Linked DNA regions of Macaca fascicularis. Each later gene encodes a partner of the first gene's protein in a complex. Links are inferred from orthologs where the notes say so. Each region holds a gene or a part of one and is shown in the gene's direction. Other genes may lie near its edges.

The links. The genes of interacting proteins can lie anywhere in the genome.
Region 2: NDUFAF1 (region 1) and TMEM126B share a complex: the UniProt entries of both Homo sapiens proteins name them as parts of the mitochondrial complex. The link is inferred for Macaca fascicularis from reciprocal best matches to the Homo sapiens genes NDUFAF1 and TMEM126B.

Annotation. Positions count from the first base shown.
Region 1 is NC_088381.1:17,945,479-17,949,126, reverse strand, and holds part of NDUFAF1 (complex I intermediate-associated protein 30, mitochondrial), read left to right. Parts: intron 1-1,811; 5' UTR 1,812-1,892; coding exon 1,893-2,465; intron 2,466-3,648. UniProt on the Homo sapiens protein: As part of the MCIA complex, involved in the assembly of the mitochondrial complex I.
Region 2 is NC_088388.1:84,670,089-84,673,836, forward strand, and holds the start of TMEM126B (complex I assembly factor TMEM126B, mitochondrial), read left to right. Parts: upstream 1-1,236; 5' UTR 1,237-1,247; coding exon 1,248-1,328; intron 1,329-2,276; coding exon of another isoform or gene 2,277-2,321; intron 2,322-2,520; exon of another isoform or gene 2,521-3,287; coding exon 3,288-3,476; intron 3,477-3,748. UniProt on the Homo sapiens protein: As part of the MCIA complex, involved in the assembly of the mitochondrial complex I. Participates in constructing the membrane arm of complex I.

The DNA of each region.
Region 1 (3,648 bases):
ACCATTCCCAGCTAATTGTTTGTATTTTCTGTAGGGGTTTCACCATGTTGGTCAGGCTGGTCTTGAACTCCTGACCTCAGGTGGTCTGCCTGCCTTGGCCTCCCAAAGTGTTGGGATTACAGCCATGAGCCAGCACACTGGGCCAATTTCTGTATTTTTAGTGGAGATGGGGTTTTACCATGTTGGGCAGGCTGGTCTCCAACTCCTGACAAGTCATCTGCCTGCCTCAGATTCTCGGAGTGCTGGGATTACAGGTGTGAGCCACCGTGGTGGGCTACAATTTTTTTTTTTTTTTTTGAGATGGAGTTTCACTCTTGTTGCCTAGGCTGGAGTGCAATGGTGTGATCTCAGCTCATTGCAACCTCTGCCTCCTGGGTACAAGTGATTCTCCTGCCTCAGCCTCCCCAGTAGCTGGGATTACAGGCGCTCTCCACAACGCCCAACTCATTTTTGTATTTTTAGTAGAGATGGGGTTTCACCAGGTTGGCCAGGCTGGTCTTGAACTCCTGACCTCAAGTGATCTGCCCACCTTGGACTCCCAAAGTGCTGGGATTATAGGCGTGAGCCACCGCGCCTGGCCAACATTTTTTTAAAAAATTAGCTGGGCATGGTGGTGTGCACCTGTTGTCTCAGTTACCTTGGAGGCTGAGGTGGGAGGATCATTTCAGCCCAGGGCCCAGGAGTTCAGGGATACAATGAGCTATTGATCTTGCCACAGCGTGGCAGCCTGGGTGACAGAGCAAGACCCTGTCTCTCTCTCTTTTTTTTTTTTTTCACATGGAATTTTGCTCTTGTTGTCCAGGCTGGAGTGCAGTGGTGCGATCTCGGCTTACTGCAACCTCTGCCTCCCGGGTTCAAGTGATTCTCTTGCCTAAGGCTCCCGAGTAGCTGGGATTATAGGCGTCTGCCACCACGCCTGGATTATTTTTAGTAGAGATGGGGTTTCACCATGTTGTCAAGGCTGGTCTTGAACTCCTGACCTCAGGTGATCCATCCGCCTCGGCCTCCCAAAGTGTAGAGATTACAGGCGTGAGCCACCGCACCCGGCCTGACCCACTCTTTTGTGAAAAGAGAAAAAAAAAAAAAGATCGGGGATGGTGCGTCATTCCTGCAACCCAGCACTTTGGGAAGCTGAGGGGAGAATCACTGGATCCCAGGAGTTCAAAACCATCATGGGCAACACAGGGAGATCCATTTCTTTTTCTTTTCTTTTTTTTTTTGGGGGGACAAAGTCTCACTCTGTTGCCAGGCTGGAGTGTGCAGTGGCACGATCTTGGCTTACTGCAACCTCCTCCTCCCAGGTTCAAGAAATTCTCCTGCCCCAGCCTCCTTAGTAGCTGGGATTACAGGCACGCACCACCAGCTAATTTTTGTGTTTTTAGTAGAGACAGGGTTTCACCATGTTGGCCAGGATGGTCTTGATCTCTTGACCTCGTGATCTACCCGCGTCAGCCTCCCAAAGTGCTGGGATTACAAGTGTGAGCCACTGCGCCTGGACAGGGAGATCCATTTCTACAAAAAATTTAAAAATTAGGTGGGTGTGGTGGTGTGTGCTTGTAATCCCAGCTACTTGGGAGGCTGAGATGGGAGGATCACTTCAGAAAGTAGAGAGGCTAAAATGAGCTGTGATTGTGCCACTGCACTCCAGCCTGGGCCACAGAGAAAGACCTTGTCTCAAATAATAATGATAATAATAATAATAATAAACAAAATAAGTTAACAAATTTCAAAATACCTGATTTCTGTTGAATTTGAAATTGTGATACGTTCATTGCTATACTGATAATTCTTCAATGTGTCTTCTGTTACAGGTAGAATTGGGCTATTTGCTGAAGCTTCTTCGTAGCCCTTGGTAGCCCAGGAAGAAACTTATGTTTTGATTTTTTTGTACCATGGCTTTGTTTCACAAAGTGCTGCGTGGTACTTATATTCTCAGAAAATGCTCTAAGCCAACTTCTGCCTTGCATCCACTTTTGAGTATTCGCTTTGCAGACTATTCCAGTAGTCTTCAGAAACCAGTGGCTTCTCCTGGCAAAGCCTCCTCACAGAGGAAGACTGAAGGGGGTTTGCAAGGACATCACCAGAAAGAAGTTGCTTTGGATATAACTTGTCCTGAGGAGAAACCTGATGTTAGTTTCGATAAAGCAATTAGAGATGAAGCAATGGACCATTTTAGGCGTTTGAAGGATGAAATTGTGAATCATTGGAAGGGACCGGAAGGCCGCCCTCTGCAAGAGGCCTTGCTGGAACAAGCCAAGGTTGTCTGGCAGTTCCGCGGGAAAGAAGATTTGGATAAGTGGAGAGTGACTTCTGATAAGACGATTGGAGGCAGAAGTGAAGTGTTTTTGAAAATGGGCAAGAATAACCAAAGTGCACTGCTCTATGGAACTCTGAGCTCTGAGGCACCTCAGGACGGGGAGTCTGCCCGCAGTGGGTACTGTGCAATGATATCCAGGATTCCAAGGGTAGGTGAGGCCCAGGCGGCATCATTTTCTAGTGAACAGGGGTGAACTTCATTGTAGCATAAACTATAGAAGATAGCTTTTGTGGCCGGGCGCGGTGGCTCACGCCTGTAATCCCAGCACTTTGGGAGGCCGAGGCGGGCGGATCACAAGGTCAGGAGATGGAGACCACGGTGAAACCCCGTCTCTACTAAAAATACAAAAAAATTAGCCGGGCGCGGTTGTGGGCACCTGTAGTCCCAGCTACTCGGGAGGCTGAGGCAGGAGAATGGCGTGAACCCGGGAGGCGGAGCTTGCAGTGAGCCGAGATCGCGCCACTGCACTCCAGCCTGGGCGACAGAGCAAGACTCCGTCTCAAAAAAAAAAAAAAAGAAGATAGCTTTTGTTTCTATAAATGAAAACACCTGGCATGTTATATTTGGCGCCTCACCTGTGTTTGGAGATAAGTATTGGCACAAGTGTAAAGTGGAAGCACAAGGGGGAAGTGGTTTCTGAGGAGGAGGAGTTACTTGTTTCTGGGCATTGCTTTGGGCCAGGAACCAGCATTGTTATGTTTCAGGAATCCTGAGCGGTTAGACATTTGAAAGATTTTTGGAGAGATTTTCATCTCCTCTAACAAAGACCACAGCCTCTGTAATGGCCGGGGGTTTTATAGAGTTGATGTAGGGTCAGCCTGTGGCTTTCTTTTTTTTTTGTTTTGAAACGGAGTCTTGCTCTGTCACCCAGGCTGGAGTGCAGTGGCATGATCTTGGCTGACTGCAACTTCTGCTCTCCAGGTTCAAGTGATTCTCCTGCCTCAGCCTCCTGAGTAGCTGGGACTACTGGTGCATGCCACCATGCCTGGCTAATTTTTTGTATTTGTAGTACAGACAGGGTTTCACCATGTTGGCCAGGCTGGTCTTGAACTCCTGACCTCGGGTGATCCACGCCCCCCCCGGCTTGGCCTCCCAGAGTGCTGGGATTACAGGTGTGAGCCACTGTGCCTGGCCCAAATATTCATTTTGGAATAATGAAAATAGTAGATAACATTTATTAAGCGTGACGTGCCAGTCCTTGTGCTAAGCACTTTATATTATCCCATTTATTCCTCACAACAGTCTCCTGAGGTAAGATCATCCCAGGTTTATGGATGAGGAAACAGAGTTGGATAGATTTAGTAACTTGTCCAAAGTTACACGGATAATAA
Region 2 (3,748 bases), on another chromosome or scaffold:
AAAAGGAAAGCAATCCCTTGGCATGGAGACATTAAAGTGACAGTGCTACTCAATGGGCACTTGATGCAGGATGAGTTGGCGAAGCAGATTTCTTCACACTGGAGTCATTCACATCATGCCATCTCTTCGCATCCAAGCAGCTCCCTATCCGGCGAGGAAAAACACTGAGACTTCGAGAGAAGCCAAACCTTCCCCCAAAGGTGTTTTCAGAGACGCCGTAGTAGTATTAGACATGTAAGCATAAGCTATGCAAACGGTCCGCGATTTCCTCAAAATGAAAAAGTGCAGCTGCTTGGCTTTCACATCCACATCCTTTTCTCTCAATCTCTCTTCAAACTACCCACCTTCCTTTTGCAGAAAAGACAAGACATTTCTCTGCCACCGCTGGCCACCCCTGCCCAAGCCCCGTTCTTTTAGGGAAGAGCACTGAAATGTCCTGCACCCTCCACGCGGTGAAGTGTTTCTTCAGGCAGGAGCAACAGCAGCACTAGAAATTATATAACTCTCGAATTTGGCTTCTCTAAGACACGGAGACTGGAGGGTCGGGGGTTGCCGGTCTGGGAGATACTGCTGGGCATTTAACGTGCACAAAACAGCGCCAGGCCTTGCAGTGCCCCCCACCCTGAGACACGACTGACAAGTGGGTCTTCTCGGGGGGTAGTGGGCAAATTTCTCTCCTGTCTCCTTCCAAGCGGGGCTAAAGGATGGAAATTGAGGGGACTACAGACTGGGGAGAGGAGTCAGACGGCTGAGAGGAGAGGAGGCTAGTCGGGGCTGCTCTGACGGCGCTGGGCGGCTGGTTGGGGGTTTGGAGGAGGAGGTGCCCGAGAAACAGAGCTTTAACACCACACGGGCCAGGGCAAAGGGGCGAGTTCCCTCAAGGACTGAAAGGGGCAGGCAGCTAGTTCCCAGCTACCAGAGGTGCCCTGAGGAGAGGCAGGAGCGCAGTAACATTCCAACATTTGGGCCGCCCCATCCTCCCCACAAGACGCGAGGAAAACAGGGAGCTAAACTGACAAATAGCAAGGGAAGGAAATACTCTGCTGGCGATGGGGGCGGACCCACAGGCACCTGGACCTCCTCTAAGCGAATAAGTGGCCGTAATTTCTAGACACCGCGCCCAATCACAGACAGGATGGAGGGCGCGGCTTTTGACTGAGGGGGGCGGGCCCGGGCTGCAAGCGAGAGGCATGAGCCGTAAACCCGCACCACTTCCCGCCCACCAGCAAATCACGTGAGCCATCAAAATGGCGGTGTTCGGGTATGAGGCTGGGGCCAAGCTGAGGGATTCAGGTGTGGTGCCGGTGGTAACTGAGGAAGCGCCCAAGGTAGGCGGAAATCCGAAGTGGTATGGGGGGTGATTTCTGCAGCTTCAAAGTGTTGGCAGAGTCTTCCAAGATGATACACTTAAAGGAGATTTGAAAAGTTAAAACAGCCCCCAAGTCCATGCAAGGAGCAGTCGATTAAGTCTCCAGCTGTTGTGGAAAGAGGCGGAGAGAACGTAGATTACCTAAGTTCTAGTACTCATTATCTGCGGTTTGTTTTCTCTTGTCTCCAGGCCTTTGCACAGGCTTTTTCTTCAACTTGGAATATTTCCCTGCTTCTATCCGTCCCAACTCCCCTGCCAAATTGTTCTCTTTCGGATATTGGTTTAAATGTCACTTCCTCCGGGAAGCCTTCCCACGCCTCCTCTGGCTAGATTAAGTTTGCCTTTTCTTAGGTTGTTGGGTTTTTCGTTTATGTCACTCTCTCATTCTGTGTTTAAATTGCCAGCATTTTTGTTCTGAACTCCCACTACATTGTGGATTCCTGAGGATGGGATGACTGTATCTTGATTACTCGGAGGCCTGGCATATACCAGGTGCTCCCTAAATTATGAGAGAATACTGAATAAAATTCTAAAGTTGAAATTTATTATTAGGTGAAAAATGTATTATTAGGTGAAATAATACACATGAAAGCACTACAAAACCGTCAAATGATTTGCAAACTATAAGCCACTCTTACTGGTATAAGCGTGGTGACTAGTTGAGTGGCCTTAAGAGGGGAGGGGTGTAATGAAAGCAGTCGATTCTTTGACAGTGCCTTGCAAAGCTTAAGCACTCAATAATATTTCCTGTGTTCTTTTCAGTATTTCAGTATTTGCTATCCTGTAATCATAATCCTGGGTGTCTGCTTTCCCTATAGAGAGTTTAGGGTGTAGACTAGGTAGGAGATTAGTAGAAGATATTGCCTGGAAGTTTATTTTGTTTTTTGTTTTTGGTGGAAGGTGGAAGGTGGAGGACTTCAGTGAACTGGATGAGAGCAAAACAAAACTTTATGTAAGGTTTATGGTTACTCATGTTATTGACATCTGCCATCTTAGTACAATAGATGGGTTAGGTATAGAACCTCCCTTAGATGTTACTATCCCTTATACTTTCCATTTGGGTGTCCAGGAGAGGAAAAAGATGTAAGTCTAGTCACTGAAAAATTGTAATTTGTAAAATATTTTACTTTTTTTCCCCCTGCCCTCTCCAGAAATGTTACAGAAAAAGATTGAGTACAATTCTGCGATGATGCAGAGAAAGAAATTGGTCCATTATTACTCGTTGTGTAATGCCATAAGAAGGTTCAAAGGAGCTCATAACTTACGTATGTTGATGCCAGGAGCCGTGTATAATCAACTGGCCCTTCTATAGTTAGGATTGGTACATACCGCTCATTCAGCAAATGAGTATTACGGTAATATTCAATATGTGTCCATTGACTACAGCATCAAAAGCACTTGGTGCTATTAAAATGCAGATTCTAGGCCTCATCCTACTCCTGCTGAATCCAGATATCTCAGGAGGGAGTTCATGAGACTGCATTTCAAATAAATACCCCATGTGATTCTTGTGCATGCTGAAGGTTGAGAACCACTGATTTATGAAGTATTTTGTGTATTCATTATGCTTTATCCCGTCTAATCCTCTTGTCTAGGACTCCTTAACTTTGAGATTTAGTATTTGCCTTCAATATAAACGTTAAAATTGAGATTAGTGTACATTTGTAAAGAGGCTATTTGGCTAATCTGGAGGAAAAAGAGTAAAAAGCAGTGAATTTAGCGGCAATAGACTTTCCACTTGGCTGCTGTAGTAGGTAAACATTTGCAACTACATGTTTGGATTTAACAAATGTTATTAAGATTTTTCACAGAAACTAGAGTCTTGCCCAGAGCAAAACATTCAGAAAGGATCCTGTCTGAGAGTGCAGGGTTTGTTTTCTTGTTGTTGTTGATTTGTTTTGTTTTTTAATCTCTCTAGTTTCTGTTAAGATGCTACTGGCCAAGTCTTCATGGTCCCTTGACATTGGCAGCTGTCTGTTCATCACACTTGGGACACAAGAACCTTCCAACCAAGGAGCCCAGTGCTTTGGGTCTCTGGGGCCCGGCGCGGTGGCTCATGCCTTTAATCCCAGCACTTTGGGAGGCCGAGGCAGGCAGATCACTTGAGGTCAGGAGTTCGAGACCAGCCTGGCTAACATAGTGAAACCCCATCTCTAGTAAAAATACAAAAATTAGCCAGGTGTGGTGGCAGGTGTGGGTCTCTGCTATACTACATAATCATTTCTAGCAAAGGCTCTGCTTCCACCACAGCTGGTAATAGGGAACTGGTTATGTAATTTATGTACTTCAAAGTAGTAGCCACAATCTACTGCCTGTTCCCTTCCTGGAGCAGTGTCCCTCTTTCTGATTTTTCTCTCTCACTGTTCTCCAAGGCAATCC